3 linked regions of the Danio rerio genome follow. The protein of the gene in region 3 purifies or fractionates together with the protein of the main gene of each other region. This does not show direct contact. Links are inferred from orthologs where the notes say so. Each region holds a gene or a part of one and is shown on either strand. Other genes may lie near its edges.

Region 1 (6,604 bases), on a different chromosome or scaffold from region 3:
GTTATTATTTATGTATTTCATCTTGTGTATTATTTATTGCTGTTGATGACTTTTAATTGTTAGAATATTTCTATAATTATAGAAAATTATACTTATAAAATGTGGTAAACTTGATCTGTTTTTTGCCATGACATGGCCAGAAAAGCTGATATAGCAAACTCAACATTCTTCCTCATTCACTGACAAAAAAAACTAATTAAGCGGCATTAAAATGAATACATATTTAAAACATGATTTATAATATTACATTAAATGGTCATTGTTTGAAATAAAGCAGTTTTACAATATTATAATATAGTTTATTATATATATTTTTTAAATAAAAATATTTTTGAAAGCATTTTAATTCACTTTGTGTGCTGAATAGTGATTCTTTTAACATTTACCTTTAGCAAATTTAGTTTTTACTAAGTAGTTGTCCCAACATATATTTATGTATACGGTTATGTGTAGTTTTTAATGCACATTGACTGTCATTTACATCAGTGTTTCTCAACCACATTCCAGGAGGACCACCAACACTGCATGGATGTCTCCTTTCTCCGTCACACCCATTAGATGGGTTTCAGTCTCTGCTAATGAGCTGATGATCTAAATCTGGTGGGTTTAGTTGAGGAGACATGAAAAATATGCTGAGCTGGTGGTCCTCCAGGAACATGGTTGAGACACTGATTTACATAATATTGTGTTTTTAGTTTTTTTCACATACATGTTGCATTTCTGCTACACCGGGCCTCATCACTGTATATATTAAATTATAGGTCAACAGAGCAGCTATGGCAAGGCCTCACGGGACAGCGGAAACCATCAGAACAGCTACCAGCCGTATTGATGAAGTGGCGAAACAATGGTAAGATTGCCTACTTGCTGCGCTCTGAGCTCGACCTCAATATTAAAGATCAATAGACAATAAACTAACAGCCTAAGGAGTAGAGTACATGTCTATAGATCTTTAATTGCACCTGTTTGTGTAGCCATTTTGCTTTTTTTAGCGTGCCAGAAAAGCGTAAGCGTTTTTCTGTAGGTTTTTTCCATTTTCTCCTCCTGCTTTAACAGGTGATCATAAAGGAATAACATAGAAAAAGTTGATAGCAATGCTAACAGGTAATGTACGGCTAAAAGGGTACAGAGTAAAAGGCGCCTCTCCTTATTTTTCCTTTCTTTCCCTAATTCTGATTATTGTACCTTGTTTGTACCTGCCAGCGGGGACTTCATTGCAGGCCGTGTGTCACCTGACCACGTCATTCTCTGGGCGTCGCACATAGCGGGCAGAGAGCACGGCATGCACGAGAAAGCGCTGTCCTGTGGTATGGTCTCTTCCAACTTCCTGTACCAGCGTAAAACAAACAAACAAAGGAGATTTTCCCCCATTTCATTAAGTTGTTGGTTTTCGTTAACAGTTCCAAATGTTTTTTTCCAGGACTTTGTTAATGTAACCTAAAAGTGATTGATAACTGCTTTGTTGTATGCTCTTTTTTTCAATTGTAGTGCTCTTGTATTTCAGTTGTGGAGCTTCAGTGATTGATTTATTAATTTATTTCTTTGTAATGTTTGGTTTTTGGTTACCTCCCCATGTAAATAATTGCATAAACTCTCTCATAATGCTTGCTTTTTCTTTAGAGGCCATAGAGAACTTCAAATGGGTACACCTCAGTGCTTTTTTCTTAAGCATAGCCTTTAAAGATCATATGTAAAGTGAGTTTTACGAAGCCATTAAAAGCTGAGAAATCTGATTTAAAACAGTTCAAGGATTGGCTAAAGTTTTTAATAACCATACCGTTTACACAGGATAAAGGCTAACCTGTTTGGGCTCGCTCCTCGATTGGTCCACAAACCGCTTGGAGCTGAGGCTTTTGCTGGCTTATGAGCTGTTCTGTCAGTCGGAGACGTTTAACATATGATCTTTAATCCTTAATGATGGTTTTCCTAGTTTAAAATCGACAGCTCAAGAAGTTAAACACTGAAACATGGACGTGCTTTGCTCGAGGTGTGGAAACCGGGTGATTCATCTCTGCTCTCTTCTCTTGTAGGTGGGCAGGTTGACTTCGACATTGCTCCTCGGAGGCAGCTTGTGTGGAATCCTGTCCTTAAACAACTATTAAAAACGTTATTCGGTCCTCTGGGGACAAATCCAGTGTCTAACCTTGTAAATAGCGAGGTGTTTCGTTTCCCAAGTTTGTCTTATTCTGTGCTTTGTTCAGATTGAACCTGTAGGTTTTGTGCTGATGTGTTCTTAAGTCTTGATTAGGAAAAGTGTCCTTTATTTTGTATTTTTAGTTCTTTTCCTGACGTTTTTGGATAAAGGGATTAAAAATTCTGAGAAAACCAATGTTTCTTTGTCGTGTGATTATTTTATACAACATTTATGACTAAGTTTTTTTAAAATATGTAATGTACATATAATAATTCAATATTATGCATTTAAAAGGTTTGAGATAAACAAACTAGATTTCCAGCCCTACAGCCAATGAGCGTGAAGCGACGTTGACGTATTTTGTAACCTTAGTGACGCCATCCCGTTCAACTTCCGGTTCTCCGCCATTTTGTGAATGGACGCCGTTGCCATCGACATTCTGAAATCAGACTAATACAAACGCGAATTTGAGCCGCATTAACACGATTTATAGGCATTTCGCTTCGGTTACGACCTAAGACGTTTTCGTCTGTAGAAACGACTGTAGCCGCGCGTGTTTTCGCCAATAGTTGATCAAATATGTCGGAGGAGCAGTTTCTGGGCGAAGACCCGACGATGAAGATGGAGGAAAATGATGATGGAGAAGGTTTCGGCGAAGAGCAGATGTCGGGGGATAATGGAGGACAGGGAGAAGCCGAGGGCTCCAAGATTGATGCCAGTAAAAATGAGGAGGACGAAGGGTGAGTTTCGGCTCCTGATGCACCATGGGAACAGACTGTAACCGAAGAATAAAATAACCTTGAGTTCATACATCGCTTCCCAATAGTAGTCGATTAGATGAGTAATTATCAACAAGGAATCGTTTTATATTAATTTAAAGTATTATAATCATTGCATTAATATTTGTGGTCATTATGCAATATTAATATCGTTATCAAAAGTGGCCGGTTGTGTAAATAACATGAATATGTGTGTCGGAGTATCGATTGATCGCTTTGCATACGTTTGTAGTAATTAATGTGGACTATCAATTGAAATGCTTTCAAAGCATTTGGTGATTTTAATGTAAATGAAGGTTTATTAAAATGTTTTCTATCTTTTGTTTAAAATATAACTTACTAGTCATATCCTAGTACAGGGTATCTGCTGTGTCTAAAATTGTCTTGAATCTCAAAAGCTAAATTTTAGGCTTTAAGAAGTCTAAATATACTGAAACATCGTGTTGTAGGTCTTAAATCTTTTTAACAGGTCTTAATTTTCCCTTGTTCATGTGTAGCGACCAAATCTAGCCATTAACAGCCATACATTCCCAATCTCTATAAAAGTCGTTTTAAAAATAACATTTATACCATAAAGTTATTATTACTTACAGTAACATTTGTTTAAAAGTTACTGCCAAGGATACTGACCTGACCTATATATTTTCATCAATAAATTATTATTATTGTATTATTAAATTTAAATACAGTGGACAAAAGGTAAAAATATTCAAATGAAAAAAAATCCTTAGCATTTAGCCTTGTATATTTCTAAAATTTCATTCATAATCTTCTTAAAAAATCTTAAATTTAACTTGTTGAAAGCGGCAGAAACCCTGTAATATTGTGTCATTTACATGCATTAACAATGATCAGTTAAATTTTTATTTAGTAAATTGATGAAAGAATAATAAATACTTTAACAGATGTATTGCCCGTCTCACTGTAAAGTGTTCCCTAATATTCGTTTGATAGTTCACCCTAAAATGAAAGACACTCAAATGGTTTCAAACCTTTTTCAGTTGAACACAGAAAAAGATATTTTGAAAAATGTTGCCAAGCTGTAGCCATTGACTTCCATAGCAGGAAACATATACTGTGGAAGTCAATGATTTCCAAAAATGTTCAGAATATCCTTTTTGTGTTTTTACAGAAAAAAAAAACTCATTGAGGTTTGTTCAAGTGGAGGATGAGTGAATGATGACAGAATGTTCTGTTTTGGGTGAACTGTCGCTTTAATGGACAGCTGCAAGTTGACTCATTTTCCAAATACATTTGCCTTTCAAATGCAGCTTTGTCAAATGTCAATTTGACAAAAGCATATTTTGAGAAACTCGGATTTAGAACTGAATGGTGTTTTTTTGTCTAGTATGCATAAATGAATTACTTTATGACAAAACAAGACTGAAATATAATCATCTATGGTCGGTTGCAGAAACTACTTAGACTAGTCATACAAGGTAGTCATTGTTTATATAATTATTATTTCCTATAAAGACTGGTCATAACTACAGGTATACACGTGTAATAGTCAATATGGAAAGTTAATAAACATCAATTATTTTGCTGCTAATCTGCAATGCTAATTTATTTTTAAAATGAAAATTAAATCTAATATTTATGGTTGTTTTAATTTTTGTAAGAAAATAATGAAATGCTTCTGTTAATCAACAGATTCTCTTGACTAGCCTGGAAAGATACTCCATCACAGTTACATTTTCAAATGCACATCATAGACCATTTTATGGGACGTAAACAAAAACAATAGTCCCAATGTATTTCCTGTTTTACATTTTTTATTTCTGTAGCTTTCGAGAATCCAAAAAGAGCCACATATTGATAAATGATGTTATGACAGCTATTTTATCAAGTTACGATTGAATTGCCTCTTGTTACAGTTATGAAATAGTTTGATAACATGCAGGAAATGTTCATGGGCCAATGACATGACCACATTGAAATGGTCTATAAGCGACTCAGACTCAAATGCAGCATTCGCGAAGACGGCATTCAGAAGAGCAGGATTTATTTACAGTGAACCGAGGTGCACTGAGTCTAAAAACACTGTTATCATGAGCTGCTTATGTTAAAAGTCACAGTGCTGCACATCACATTACATATAATTACAACCCAGTATTTGCTGTCTGACAAACATGCTAATCCATATCATGTTCTCAGGCATTTTTAGAATAAATGAAATGAAGTAACCTATTTACTCTACTTTGGTGTGTTAAGTTTATCCCTCCCGAGTTGAAATCTGATTAAAATCAGATAGAAATCACTCTAAAGAGATAAGTTTACCTCAAAATTAAAACGTTCTCACTATTTTCTCAAGCCTCAAGAGATTCCAAATCCAAACCTTTGAGTTTTTATCTTCTGTTGAACACAAAAGATGTTTTGAAGAATGTTGGAAACCTGTAACCATTGACTTCCATAGTAGGGGAAAAAACAAATACTATGGAAGTAAGGGGTTTTCAGCTTTATTCAAAATATCATTTGTTCTGTTCAAGTGGAAGGTAAGTAAGGAATTTGCACTATTTCCTTTTTTGAATTGTTTTTTCTTTTCCTTTAAGGAAAAGTTTTTTTTTTTTGAAGAACAAAAACAATCTAAGCCCACAATAGCATTCATTTATTGTTTCTGGAAAGTTCTCCGTCCACACCATATTGCTTTACTAAACAACGTACATCATGTGACCATACAATGTATGTTCAAGTATAAACAGGAAGTATGTGCTTCACTCAGCATGTGGTTACTAGGCAACTAGGGCTGTGCGATTAATCAAAATCGAATCACAATCGTGATTTGAATCGTTTCGATTAGCTAATCGCAAGAGGCTGCTATATGAAATATAAATTTAACTTCCCCCACCCAGAGCAAATGCATGACTGCCTTCTGTGTGTGACAGTCTTACTAGCCAATTGAGTGAGCTTACTTTTATTCTGCCCAATCAGAATTGCGCAACCGAACTATGCAGAACGCCCACAATAAAAACAAACAGGAAAGCGCGAACGAGTGGGATGATAGCATCTGCCGCTTCAGAAGCATTAATAGACTAATTAATGTTAAAGAAAATAAGCATGTCAGTAATATGGGAATATATTGGTTTCAAAGTCACAGACACCAAACAAAACTTGGTAATTTGCAAGAGCTGTTGCAGAATTGTGGCCACAGCATGAGAAAATGCAACAACCAGCACCTAAAAAAGTACCACAGGTGACGATATGAGGAGCATTTTGCTAAAAATGTAACTAAAAGTACTGCCAGTGACACTCAATCTAGTAGCTAGCAACAGCAAAGTACAATTTCAGAGTTGTTTGCTAATATAATTTAATACTGTTCCTTTTTTTAATTAACACTCACTGCATTTAGCAATAAGAAGCTACGATACAGATTGAGCTGAAGCTTGACTGCAAAATAAATTGCAAATCAAATCGAAATTGCAATATCTGTCAAAAAAAATCACCATTAGATAATTTCCCCAAATCGCACAGTCCTATAGTCAACAACAGAGTCTGCACTCCAGTCCATATTTTTATGCCCTTCACTCGCTAACTTACCTTCACCTCTTTTCCTCGGATGTGCATCATTGATTACGTTACACAAGTGTCGACCCCTGGTGGAACATCTGAATGGGTTTCAATAAATGCTCTTGAGCACTTGAGAATTACACTGTTGTGACGTCACAATCACATCGCATTCTGGAACACAGAG
Region 2 (6,646 bases), on a different chromosome or scaffold from region 3:
GCTGCTTTCTTCACGGGAGCTGCTTTCTTGGCTGGTGTGGCTTTAGCTGGTGTAGCTTTGGCAGGAGCCTTCTTGGGAGGTGGAGCCTCTTCCTCGGATTCATCATCTAGAAATACAGAAGATTATATAAAAGTAATACATTTTAATCATGCCTAAAGGGTTAAATTCATTAAAATTGATAATGCATTTAATTTCCTTGGTAATAGACCACCCAAAAAATGCAATCAATTTCACACCCTTTGCCTAATAAAAAGAAATTGAAACATCTTGTACACCAGTAACCATTGATCTTCTTAGTTTGTTTTTTGTACTATGGAAGTCAATGGCTATCATCTTCAGTGTTCAGAAAAGTCAATCAGGTTAGGAACCACTTGAGGGAGAGTAAATGAGTCATTTAATAACTGTGAACTATCCCTTTAAAACTGCTGATCTAATAAACATCTAGGCAGATAGTTTTCATACCATCATCATCGTCGTCATCCTCTTCACTGGACTCTTCAGCAGGAGCTGCTTTCTTTGCAGGAGCTGCTGCTTTAGCTGGAGCTTTAGCGGCCTTCTTTGGAGGCGGAGCTTCCTCTTCTGTGAAGTACAAGTCAATGCAAATTACACCTGACCTTCAGACTCAAAGGAATAAAAAAAATAAAATAAAAATGCACGACTGAAAACTTTGCTAACCAGATTCATCATCTTCATCGTCGTCATCTTCATCCTCACTCTCCTGTTTGGCAGCAGCTTTTCCGTTTTTCACTGCCTTCACAGGAGCCGCGTTTTTCTTCGCTACAGCTTTGACTGGTGGTGCCTGCCGAATACACAGTTCATTAAATACCTTTCAATAGCAACAGGAAAAAAATAAAGCGCATTATTTGTCAGCCTCCTCACCTCTTCTTCCTCATCGTCATCACTGTCCTCCTCGCTGGATTCCTCTTCCACTTCTTTAGGAGGTGGAGGTGCCTTTTTCTTCGGCGGCGCATCTTTTTTAGCTGCCTGTAACAAACAAGCAATGAAAATATTAATTTAAATGTTGATTTGTGCGATTAGAAATTGATTTAGCAACTAGACAGTCAAAGCTTTGCACATTTAGTCAACAGAAACCTCAAATGGTTTCAGTTTCAGTTTCAGTCCTGCGGTGCAAGAAAGATTTAACAGATTGTTTTAGCACTTGTGCATGTATTAAACACGAGTTCCACCCTTTATAAATTAGCTAGATGCCATTATGCAGAAATGACAGCATATAGTTTAAGCTTCAATCAATGACACATTCAATCTTGATGCATTCGAACGCTTTCACTTCAGCATTTGTTTGGAGATCATGAGGTGTGGCTACTCTTGTTTAGGCTATATAAAGCTTTAAAAGTGCAATAAATTTAATACATCTGTATGCTCAGCGTTCATACTTCATAAACAGTCATAGCTGAAACCATATTGCATTGAATTAGAAACTTACAATTGGTAAAGCTGACAAGAATACAAAATTCTGAATGTCACCATGTTTATAGCATGATCCATTATTAATCTTTTCACACTTGAAATCTCAAATGTCATTATATATATATTAATGAAAAAAAAAACCCTACATGAATTTTTATACAAATGTTCACTTAAATCAGTGACAATTATTCTGATTTAATGCACTACGATGTAGAATATGTACTTAATGTCCCACACTCAGAGCAAATGTCAAGTCTTACTAGCCGATTGAGTGAGCACACTTTCGTTCTGCCCAATCAGAACTTTTCAATCTGCCTCTTATCGGTCTCATTAATTTGCGGAGTGTACTTTCACAATTATTATATTATTGTAAGTATAATAACAAGGTGTCTACAAGTTCCAGCAAGTCAAATTTAAGACCAATTCAGACTTGCACAAGGCTAAACACTAAAGATTTTTTAATGGCCAAGTTAAAACCATATCATTAAAAACAAATGTTTTTGCAAAGATAAATAAAACCATATTAATATGCAAATAGTGTAAATGATGTTTTTTTTAAACTTATGAAATATAATGTTAGTTATTAGACGGGTGCTGTCCTGATTGGGTATAGCTTTACAGAGGAAAATTAAGACCAGTTTAAAATTAAGACCTACAACACAATAGTGCAGCGGATTAAAGACTTTAAGGCCTAAAATTCATATATATTTAATTTTAAAACTTTACAATTCTGCAGATACCTTAAATAAGCTACATCATCTCCTTACTTTGAGCTGATGCACAAAAAGGAAAGGTAATTTTTTTTATCTTACTGTTTGCTCAAGCGAAAAATGATTTCAATTTCTGAATATTTAACAACTAATTTGAATAAATGGTGAAATTAATATTATTAATATATAATAACATATATAATAATAATCATATCTATGCAGTGAAACAGACTGAGCTGAATCTTGACTCAAATCAAAAAAATCTGTCAAAACAAAAATTGCAATCAAGACATTTTCTCCAAATCGCACATCCCCCTTAGCTCTTGCAGTTAGGGCTATGAAAGGGTCAAATAAACTAAACATCTAGGGGGGGAAAAAAAAAAGTACACCCAAGTTGTCTCAAGACAGACATAGTTGACCAATGAAAGGTCTTAACCATCCTCAAATGTTGACTTGTGTACATTTAACAAGACTTGGCATTCATTAAGTTCACAGGTAACTTGTGCATGTTTAAAACACAAACACAATCTTGCATAAACAAGCGTAAGATTTCGCATAAAAATCTGAATTCTCATCTAAAACTTTTCATCTTTAGTATTAATACATTTATAAGACAAATGTGCAAAAAAAAAAAAAAAAAAAAAAAAAAAGATAAATACAAGACTGGCACAACACCAATTAAAATATTTAGATTGGTTCCTAAAATCCAACATTTTTACCTTTCAATCACTAAAGGTGTAACACGTGTTATTGGAGATTTTGCATATAATTCATTCGTGGTACAACCTTTTAAAATTTGACTATTAAGTGCATGACTTAATGTAAATAATGTACTTATACAAATAATAAACTAAAATAAAATTATGACTGTTAATGAATATTTCTTAAGTATGGATCTGTAACAAAGTACTCAAAAAGTAAAGTACTGCTCGCGAAACTCCCCGCGTGGATCATCCCACGTGGGTTGAACGTAACACGTGGAAAACACACGTTAACCCTACAGCGAAGTAGAAATAACGTAATTAAATTAAATTTCGTGCCGCATTTACATACTTGACTCATATAAACAGTGAAACACGAGTTAAAACGCAATTGTGTTTAGTGCACGGTCTTATACGTGTTAAATGCCCCCACATTCACTACAGAGAGCCAAAATGGAGGCGTTTAGCATTTAGCTACTTTCCACGCATGGCGAACAAATGCCTTGGAGCTAAATCCACGACACATTAACACCTCCCCAGGGTTTATTAATCAACGCAATTTGTTTTTACAACATCACAAAACGAGTCTTCTTAAAATTCACCACGCATGTTCATCATGCGTGTTTGTTGAGGCCTGCAAATGCAGAAGCGTGGTCGGCCATGTTACCTTCACAAACAGGAAAAGCAGAAAACACACGCTAGCTCATTTTAGCCGTCAATACTGATCCTTAAATAAGTATTTGAATATTTAACCTTACATTCCGACGAATATTATATATGTTAAACTAAATATAACTCACACACATGGGCCTTCTCGCCAAATGTAAAAATAAAAACAGGAAAATACGCATTTTGAGATCCGTGCTGCATTTAAAGCGACAATAACGGATTGACGGTAATATCTTACCTTAGCGAGCTTTACCATGACTGAGGGCTGTTTTTACAGTAAAGCTGATAACTGAAAGAGAGAGATGGTAAGAACCGTTCAGTCACACGTGTTTCTCTCTACAGGACAGAAAAGAGCGCTCGATACGCTTTTAGTACGTCCTGAAAAACCCCGCCCACTACACCCATGACGTTTACCATATGCGCGTTCACGAAGCTCAATGTGAACCGAGTCGCTGCTGTTCAGACTCGTTATCTCCATTCGGTTCTTTTGAACAGTTTTTTTCTGATTTTTTTGCGCTCATTGAACAGTATGAATGAATGAATGAATGAATGAATGAATGAATGAATGAACTAGAAATTTAAAGTTCGTAGACAAACTTGGTCTCTTGAGAAAGCCGAGTCTGAAAGTGTGAAGTTTAAATAACTGAAGTGTTTTAAGTTTGAAACAGTTATCAAAAGATTAGCATGTTTCCAATATAGTTTGGTATGTTGCTAGGGGTTCTCAGTGGTTGCTATGCAGTTGGCAAGGCATTGCAACTCAGTTGTTTGGTTGTTCTGATTGGTTGCTAAGGTGTTGCTAGCCAGTTGTTAGGGTGTTCTGAGTGGTTGCTAAGGTGTTAATAAGTAGTTGCTAAGGCATTGCTAGGCGGTTGCTAAGGTGTTGCCTGGGACTTCTGAGTTGTTGCTAAGGCATTACTAGGAAGTTGTTAGGGTGTTCCAGGTGGTTTCTAAGACGTTGCTAGGTGGTTGCTTATGTGTTCTGAGTGGTTGCTAAGGTTTTGCTAGGCGGTAGCTAAGGTGTTTCTAGGCAGTTGCTAGGGTGTTCTAGGTGGTTACTAAGATGTTGCTAGTCGGTTGATGTGTTCTGAGTGGTTGCTAAGGAGGTGTTAGGTGGTTGCTATAGATGATCTAGCTCGTTGCTTATGTGTTGCTAGGTGGTTGCTAGCATGCTCTGATTGGTTGCTAGGCCGTTGCTAAGGTGTTGCCTGGGAATTCTGAGTGGTTGCTAAAGCATTGCCATATATATATATGTGTGTGTGTGTGTGTGTGTCATTGCAAGGCATTGCTAGGTGGTTGCTAGGGTGTTTCAGGTGTTTCAGGTGGTTACTAAGATGTTGCTAGCAGTTGCTAGGTCATTTCTAAGGTGTTGCTAGGTGGTTGCTAAGGTGTTTTGAGTGGTTGCTAGGTGGTTGCTAAGGTGTTCTGAGTATGTTTCAAGTATGATTAGTATATATTGGTATGTCATTACCATATATATATATATATATATATATATATATATATATATATATATATATATATATATATATATATATATATATATATATGTGTGTGTGTCTGTGTGTGTGTGTGTGTGTGTGTGTGTGTGTGTGTGTGTGTGTGTGTGTGTGTGTGTGTGTGTGTGTGTGTGTGTCATTGCAAGGCATGTCATGTTTCTAATGTGGATCAGTATATTGTCAGTATGAACTGGTATGTCACTCACTTTAACGTTAATTTTACAGAATCACTGTGCTTATCACTGGGTGACGAGCTGTTATAATACGCTAAAAGCATTATGTAAATTTTATATATATATATATATATATACATATATATTTATTTATTTATATATATATATATGTATATATATATATATATATATATATATATATATATATATATATATATATATATATATATATATATATATATATATATATATATACGTATGTTGTCAATATAACTTATTTCTTAGACAAAAACAAACTCTGTGCCTCGCTGTAAATGCTAGCGCTCCCGTTTTTTTTTTCTTCTGGTACCTTGTTGTTTGCAAACATGGTAATTCGTCTATATGGCACTTCTTATATATAATCATGAAATTTATTTTACAAATTTGCTCGAAAGTTTTATTATTATTATTGTTGTATATCAAAAATATATTTACAAGAAAACTTATTTTTTTTATTTTGTAAATTTAAATATAAACAATCACACGTGAGGCATCCCAAGCATCAACCAATCAGGCTTTTAAAAAAGACGGCGCTACCTGCCGATTGGATGATGCCAATGTCAATCATGCTAAAACGTCTTCCCAGACCCTGATTCTTCATCTTCTCAGAGCTGCACTTTTCCGTGTTTTTTTTTTTTTCTTCCGTGTAGAGATTGTTAAGAAATATGAACATACTGATATTTTTGTGTGCATGCAAACTCTGAAATCACATCTTTGAGTAACTTACGCGTGCTTTATATGAACCACCCTACACACACACACACACACACACACACACTGAACCCAACGGCTCCGCCCACTGAAACGCTCACCAGAAAGAGACTCCCACTTGTTCCATTCAAGCAGACCTTCATCTAGATTTCACACAGCGGATCGCACACTTAATTTGTTTTTCCTTTTAAGCATTCAAGTAGTGGAAGTAAAGTTAAAACTAGTGGATTTCAAAATGGCTTCATCAGCTAAAGATGATTACACATGTCCTGTGTGTCAGGATATCTTCAAGACTCCAGTTATATTATCATGTGGCCACAGTTTCTGTCAAGAGTGTCTTCAGCAGTGTTGGAGAAGCGAGAATACTCAGGAGTGTCCCGTCTGCAGGACAAGATCCTCAATAGCTGATCCTCCAGTTAATCTGGCTTTACAAAACTTGTGTGAGTCGCATCTGAAAAAGAGAAATAAGAGACATTCATCAAGATCTGAGGAGATCTGCAGTTTACACGGTAAGAAACGAAGACTCTACTGTGTAAAGGACAAACAGCCTGTGTGTTTAGTGTGCAGAGATTCAGAGAAACACCTCAAACACACATTCAGACCCATCAGTGAAATGGTTTCACCAAAGAAGGTAAGACTGAATTACGCTTGAACTTCTATAATCATAGACATTTTTTTTACTTGTAGAAATGTCTCAGATTCATTTTGCTCATGAAAAA
Region 3 (6,546 bases):
GTCTCCAGCTGGCTTCAGCTCCGACCTGCTGATTATCGCAATCTGTCACCGAGCCAAAGGGGGGAAAGAGGGACACCAGGAGTTAAACTGGCCCGAGGAAACCCGGCAGAGCACATGGAAATCATTGATTGCAAAAAAAAAAACTATTATAATAACTTGGGCTGGTTAGACATCATCCCAGCTTTGCAAATTTCTTAAGGGGAAAATCTAAGTTGCAGATCTCTAAACAGAATTCGAGGGGCTTTTAAATGTTTCGGTTAAATCATGCTCTCTATTGATTAAATGTACATCTAACTTTGTAAAGAAAATTATAGATTTAAGCTGTTAATAACCGTGGGAACTTTTCTGTAAAATAAAAGAATATAAATGCCATTAACATGGTTTCAACTGGAAGAAAACATTTTTATTCTGTGTGTACAATTTAATAATTGCGAATATATGTACATATATGTTGTTATAAATTATATAGTATTTATATATTTTTATGTATTATAAGAACATCAAATTTACCTTTCTGAATGTTATGAACTAGGGCTGTCGATTAAATAAAATTGGTCTGTAATTAATCTAATGATTCAGACTATTACTGTGAAAACATGAAATTAAAAAATATTGCATAATATATTAACTCTATACGTTTAAAAGTTATTATTTAGTCATAAAAATATTGAAGAAAACAATATATAATTTTGAAATACCTTATATGTTGTCTCTGGTGGCCTGCTATTTATTTATATTACATTTTATTTGACTAATTTATGCATTTATCTGTGAGTGTTTATATTAAAAATGTTAAAAATGTATAAATACTAACAAAAATGCATCAATAAGTCAAATAAAATGTAATGTAAATAAATAAGTTCAGCAGATAAGTCTTGCAAGGTATTTTAAAATGATCAATTATTTTGTTGAATAATATACCTTATATGATGTCTGTGGTGATCTGTTATTTGTTTATATTAGATTTTAATTGACTTATTTATGTATTTTGTGAGTATTCATTTTAAAATTGTTAAATTAAATATAAATACTTACAAAATTGCATTAATAAGTAAAAAAATGTAAAATAAATAAATGAATAAAAGTTAGGAAATTTTAAAATTATAAATTATTTTGTTAAATAATATACCTCATATGACGTCTCTGGTGACCTGTTATTTGTTTATTTATTTATATTACATTTTATTTTACTTGTGCAGTTTTGTGAGTATTTATTTCAAAATTGTTCAAATAAATATAAATATTCACAAAAATGCACAAATAAGTAAAATTAATTTAATATAAATAAATAAATAAATAAATAAATATAAGGTCACCAGAGAAGTCATATAGGCATTTCAAAATGATAAATTTAGTTTAAAAAAATACTTTAGCCTATGACATCTCTTGTGACCAGTTAAAATGCATAAGTCATATAAAATGTATAATAAATAAATAAATAAATAAATAAAAGGTCACCAGATTCATTTTATAAGATATTTCAAAAAGATAAATTATTTTGGTAAATAATATACCATATAAGACGTCCCTGGTGACCTGTTATTTATTTACATTACATTTTATTTTACTTATTCATGCATTTTTGAGAGTCCTTATATTAAAATTCTTAAAATAAATATAAATATTTACAAAAACGCATAAGTAAAATAAAATGTAATATAAATAAATAGGAAATGTCATATGGTATTTCAAAATGATAAATTTTGTTTAATTTTTTTTTTATATATATAAATAAGAAAAGTATACTAATATTAATCAAAATATCAGAAAATGGCAAATACATCAGTCAAATGCATCCAGAATACATGAAAAAGTAAGGCCCCACAACTTGATAAACACCTACAGCACAAACTACACATATTGAGCTGGCTTCCAGTAAGAAAAGTCCATTAATCATAACTTATTAAATGTCTCCCAGTGGAAGAATGTAATTGTCAATTGTTGATCTAAAAAGCGAAACACTGCAGGTTTCAAAGCCTACCAAGAACAGCAGGGGAAACCCCCCCAAAATGCTGAGAGCTCATTACAGGTCTGACATCATAACAGCGTCCTAAATCAACTTCAGCCTCAATGTAAGCTGCTTTGGATTTAAAAAGCCCCTCTGAAATACAGACTAATTATAAAAACCATGAGGGCACTTAAAACCCAAAGTCACTGAGGGTCTAATAAACGCCCCGCTCATATACTCTCTTTTTTAATAAGATGTTTTATGATGTGCAGATGTAATTGTCTGGTTAAATCAGATGAGAACGCACTCACCGTGGTCACCTTCCTCTTAATATTCTCCAGAAGTTGCTCCTGTCCCCGGATGAAATATGGATGCTGGAACTCTGTGTCGTCTTTCTCTGGTTTTACCAGCCCTCCCTGCTCAATGTGGACCACTTTCCGAAAACCATCTGCATAATAAGAACAGAAACACATTACCATAATGTTCATAATGCACACTCCTTTCTCCATTCAACTTAAGTATATACTCAAATTTTAAATAATATTGAATAAGAAATGCATAAAACTACAATTATATTTATAATTATAATATAACTAAACCTCTAAGCTAAGTTAAATGTGGAAAACTTGGCATTAAAGTCATGGAACTGTACATAAGAGGTATTAATATTATTTTAAGAAATACTCAGTCTAGCTCATAAATGTGGTCTACTATTAATATCATAAACATCTGTACATAAAAGTATGATTATTATTATTATTATTATTAAAAAATACATTTAGGCAGCATTAATGTCATGAAACACTAGAAGTATGAAATGAGTATTTTTATTATTACAACATTATATTTCTAAGCTGCAAAATGTGGACAATCAGCAATAAATACCATGAAATTTTATAAATAAACAGTGTGATTATTATGTCTAAAAATAAATTTAGGCAGCATTCCTGTCATAAAATACTAAATAAAATGTCTATTTTTATTATTATTACAACAACAACATATTTTAGGCTACAAAATGTGGACAATCAGGAATAAATACCATGACATTTTATAAATAAAAAGTGTGATTATTACGTTTATAAAATATTTACAGGCAGCATTCGTGTCAAAACACTGTAAATTAAATGTCTATTTTTATTATTATTATAACATTATATTTTTAAGCTACAAAATGTGGACAATCAGGAATAAATATCATGAAATTTTATAAATTAAAAGTGTGAGTATTAAGATTATTATGTCATAGAATATGGAGGCAGCATTAGTATCATAAAAAATGTAAATAAAATGTCTTTTTATTATTATGACAACATTATATTTCTAAGCTACACAATGTGCACAATCAGGATTAAATATCAAGAAATATATAAATAAAAATATTATTATTATGATAAAACATATCTACATTGCATAAAATCTTGAAACACTAAATATGGAGAAAATGTGGACAATATAGAATTACTTATTTAGTGCAGCTTCATTTAAAATACACACCATCCAAAAATGTTCACATTATCCAACAAAACACGAATCAAAATCTTCCACGTTAACATTTATATGAGCCTAAACATTTATTCAACACCTTCAGCTTTAACCATCTAAGTCTATAAATAAAGTTTATTAGGTCATTAAAATGATTAAACAGATTAAAGCCATTATCATATTCCTCTTATACTTACACATATTGAGCTGGCGGACAAAACTGGCCATGTTGTTGTGCTTGAAGTATTTCGGCAGAACTTCTTTGGAAAACCTGCCCTGGTCGAAGACGTGGAAACTGGTGCCATTCTGAAAACGCAGTCAAACAGTTTTAGTAAACAATGTTAGCTTTATATTCACACACTAGGACTTTACAATTTCAGAAAAGTATTATTTACAAATTCTTAATAGGGAAATCATATTAGCAGCCAATGACAATCAAAGTACAACACTGTTCACAGTTTATTAAATATGGCTAATGTTATTTTAAATTCATACTTAACATGCTATTTCAGATCCAATTTTTAAAAGTAGCATGGTAAACCATATGGGTAACAACTTTACCTCAATGACCAATAAAATGTCCCTCTTCGGGCTGTCAGCTTAAAACAAAGTCACCAGCTAACAGCCAAATCCACTTATAATAGTCCAGAATTAGACAGCTGACAGATAGTGTTAATTCAATACTTTACAACTTCTCATGTGTTTATTTAGCGGCTCTGGTTTAAGCCTGACGGTTAGCGCCTTAACTATCACCCTACATTTTAAGTTCAATGACTTGTAAATTACATTTGATAAACAGTTTGTTAAAATAAGTTCAGGATTGGACAAAAAGAATCGTAATAAATGTGGTCAAAAAATCCCATCAGTGGAATTGTGACTGTTTGACACAGATATTGAGGTAAAGTTGGTTTTATATTCGCACATTCATTCATTATTAAGTAAACTGACTACTTGTGACACTGCCCTATATTGTTTACTATGCTACTTTTATATATTTGGTCTACAATTGCATGTAACAATTTGAAAACAACATTAGCGCTATTAATTGACGGTGAACAAAGTTGTGCTATGTAGCCATTAGCTGCTAATATGATTTCCCCATTTAGAATTAGCAAAGACTACTTTTTTAAAATGATATTATTCTTGAGAAAGCATGAATCTGTGACTATAGAACCAACTTTACCTCAATAAAGCCCTGTCAGTGGGATTGTAACTGTTAAGAGCTCAAATATAAACTAAAAGACAGCTCTCTAAATACATTGAAGCTCATTTTACACAGGTTGAACCATATCTATTCATAACAAAAGATAAATATTTAGGTAAAATCCCAATTCTGTGCCTTCATAATCAACAAACGTAGTGTTTATGAGGTAAAGTTAGTTCTATATTCGCACATTTGTTCCTTTTTGAACTAAGTGACAACTTCTGACAAGGCTCCTATATTGTTTACTATGCAACTTTTTTATATTCGGTCTGAAATCGCATGCAAGTATGACTTCAAAAGTAAATTAGCACTATCCAACTGTGAAAAATGTTGTATTTTGATAGTCACTGATTTCTCTATTTAGAATTAGCAAAGAATACTTTTACCGCAATAAAACCCTATCAGTAGGATTGTGACTGTTGATAGATCAACTAAAAGACAGCTCTCTAAATACATGTAGGCCCATTTTACACAGGTTTTACCATATCTATTTATAATAAAAGAAAAATATTTCAGTAAAATCACAATCCTTGGCCTTTACATTAAAAGATGTAGTGTTTATGAGGTAAAGTTAGTTTTACATTCGCACATTCGTTCATTTTTTTAACGAAGAGACAACTTCTGACACGGCCCCTATATTGTCTACCATGCTACTTTAATATATTTGCTCTGAAATAGTAGGCAAGTATGACTTCAAAACAACATTAGCATTTAAGTGACTGTGAACAAAGTTGTTGTATTTAGATAGTCATTGGCCGCTAAAAAGATTTCCATATTTAGAACTGGCCAAGAATACTTTTCAGAAATGATATTATGAAAGAGAACGTCTGACTGTGTGAATATAAAACCAACTTTACCCCAATAAAACCCTGTCAGTGGGATTGTAACAAATATTGTGAAATATAAACTAAGACAGCTCTCTAAATACAAGCCCATTTTACACAGGTTGAACCATATCTATTTATAATAAAAGATAAAAATTTAGGTAAAATCCAAATTCTGTGCCTTCATATCAACAAACGTAGTGTTTGAGGTAAAGTTGGTTTTATAATCACACATTCGTTCATTTTTTTAACAAAGTGACAACTTCTGACACGGCCCCTAAATTGTTTACCATACTACTTTTATATATTTGGTCTGAAATCGCATTTAATCATGACTTCAAAACAACATTAGCACCATTTAATTGACTGTTAACAATGTTGTACTAAGACAGTCATTGGCTGCCAATATGATATTAGGAATTTGCAAAGAATACTTATCTGAAACTATAATTTTAGGAAGAAAGTCTGAATGTGTGAATACAAAACCAACTATACCTCAATAAAACCCTGTCAGTGGGATTATGACTGTGAAGAGTTCAAATATAACCTAAAAGACAGCTCTCTAAATACATTTAGGCCCATTTTACACTGGTTTTACCATATCTGTATTTTGATAAAATCCCAATCCTGTGCCTTGATATCAATGAGCGTGGTGTTTATGAGGTAAAGTTGGTTTTATATTCGCACAGTTGTTCATTTATGAACTAAGTGTCAACTTGTGACATGGTTTCTATACCATTTACCATGCTACTTTTATACATGCGGTCTGAAATAGTATGACTTCAAATCAACATTAGCCCTATTTAAGTGACTGTGAACAATGTTGTTGTACTTAGATAGTCATTGGCCGCTAAAAGATTTCCATATTTAGAACTGGCAAAGAATACTTTTCTGAAATGATATTATTAAAGAGAACGTCTGACTGTGTGAATTTAAAACCAACTTTTCCCCAATAAAACTCTGTCAGTGGGATTGTGACTGTTACAAATATATTTAGGCCCATTTTACACAGGTTTTACCATATCTATTCATAATAAAAGATAAATATTTCTGTAAAATCACAATCCTTGGCCTTCATACTAATG

What was found.
Region 1: the proteins of hsf1 (region 3) and hnrnpd purify together in Homo sapiens (affinity purification with mass spectrometry; 3 studies listed by BioGRID, with this or other methods). This does not show direct contact. The link is inferred for Danio rerio from reciprocal best matches to the Homo sapiens genes HSF1 and HNRNPD.
Region 2: the proteins of hsf1 (region 3) and ncl purify together in Homo sapiens (affinity purification with mass spectrometry; 3 studies listed by BioGRID, with this or other methods). This does not show direct contact. The link is inferred for Danio rerio from reciprocal best matches to the Homo sapiens genes HSF1 and NCL.

What each region holds. Positions count from the first base shown.
Region 1 is NC_133185.1:5,487,446-5,494,049, reverse strand, and holds the start of hnrnpd (heterogeneous nuclear ribonucleoprotein D0), read left to right. Parts: upstream 1-2,522; 5' UTR 2,523-2,713; coding exon 2,714-2,874; intron 2,875-6,604. Other genes in the region: hnrnpdl (heterogeneous nuclear ribonucleoprotein D-like), read left to right, coding at 762-832. UniProt on the Homo sapiens protein: Binds with high affinity to RNA molecules that contain AU-rich elements (AREs) found within the 3'-UTR of many proto-oncogenes and cytokine mRNAs.
Region 2 is NC_133197.1:38,757,673-38,764,318, forward strand, and holds the start of ncl (nucleolin), read right to left. Parts: upstream 3,899-6,646; 5' UTR 3,765-3,898; coding exon 3,747-3,764; intron 985-3,746; coding exon 880-984; intron 800-879; coding exon 676-799; intron 580-675; coding exon 463-579; intron 107-462; coding exon 1-106. Other genes in the region: trim35-34 (tripartite motif containing 35-34), read left to right, coding at 6,163-6,558. UniProt on the Homo sapiens protein: Nucleolin is the major nucleolar protein of growing eukaryotic cells. It is found associated with intranucleolar chromatin and pre-ribosomal particles. It induces chromatin decondensation by binding to histone H1.
Region 3 is NC_133194.1:3,473,350-3,479,895, reverse strand, and holds part of hsf1 (heat shock factor protein 1), read right to left. Parts: intron 3,740-6,546; coding exon 3,631-3,739; intron 2,397-3,630; coding exon 2,260-2,396; intron 1-2,259. UniProt on the Homo sapiens protein: Functions as a stress-inducible and DNA-binding transcription factor that plays a central role in the transcriptional activation of the heat shock response (HSR), leading to the expression of a large class of molecular chaperones, heat shock proteins (HSPs), that protect cells from cellular insult damage.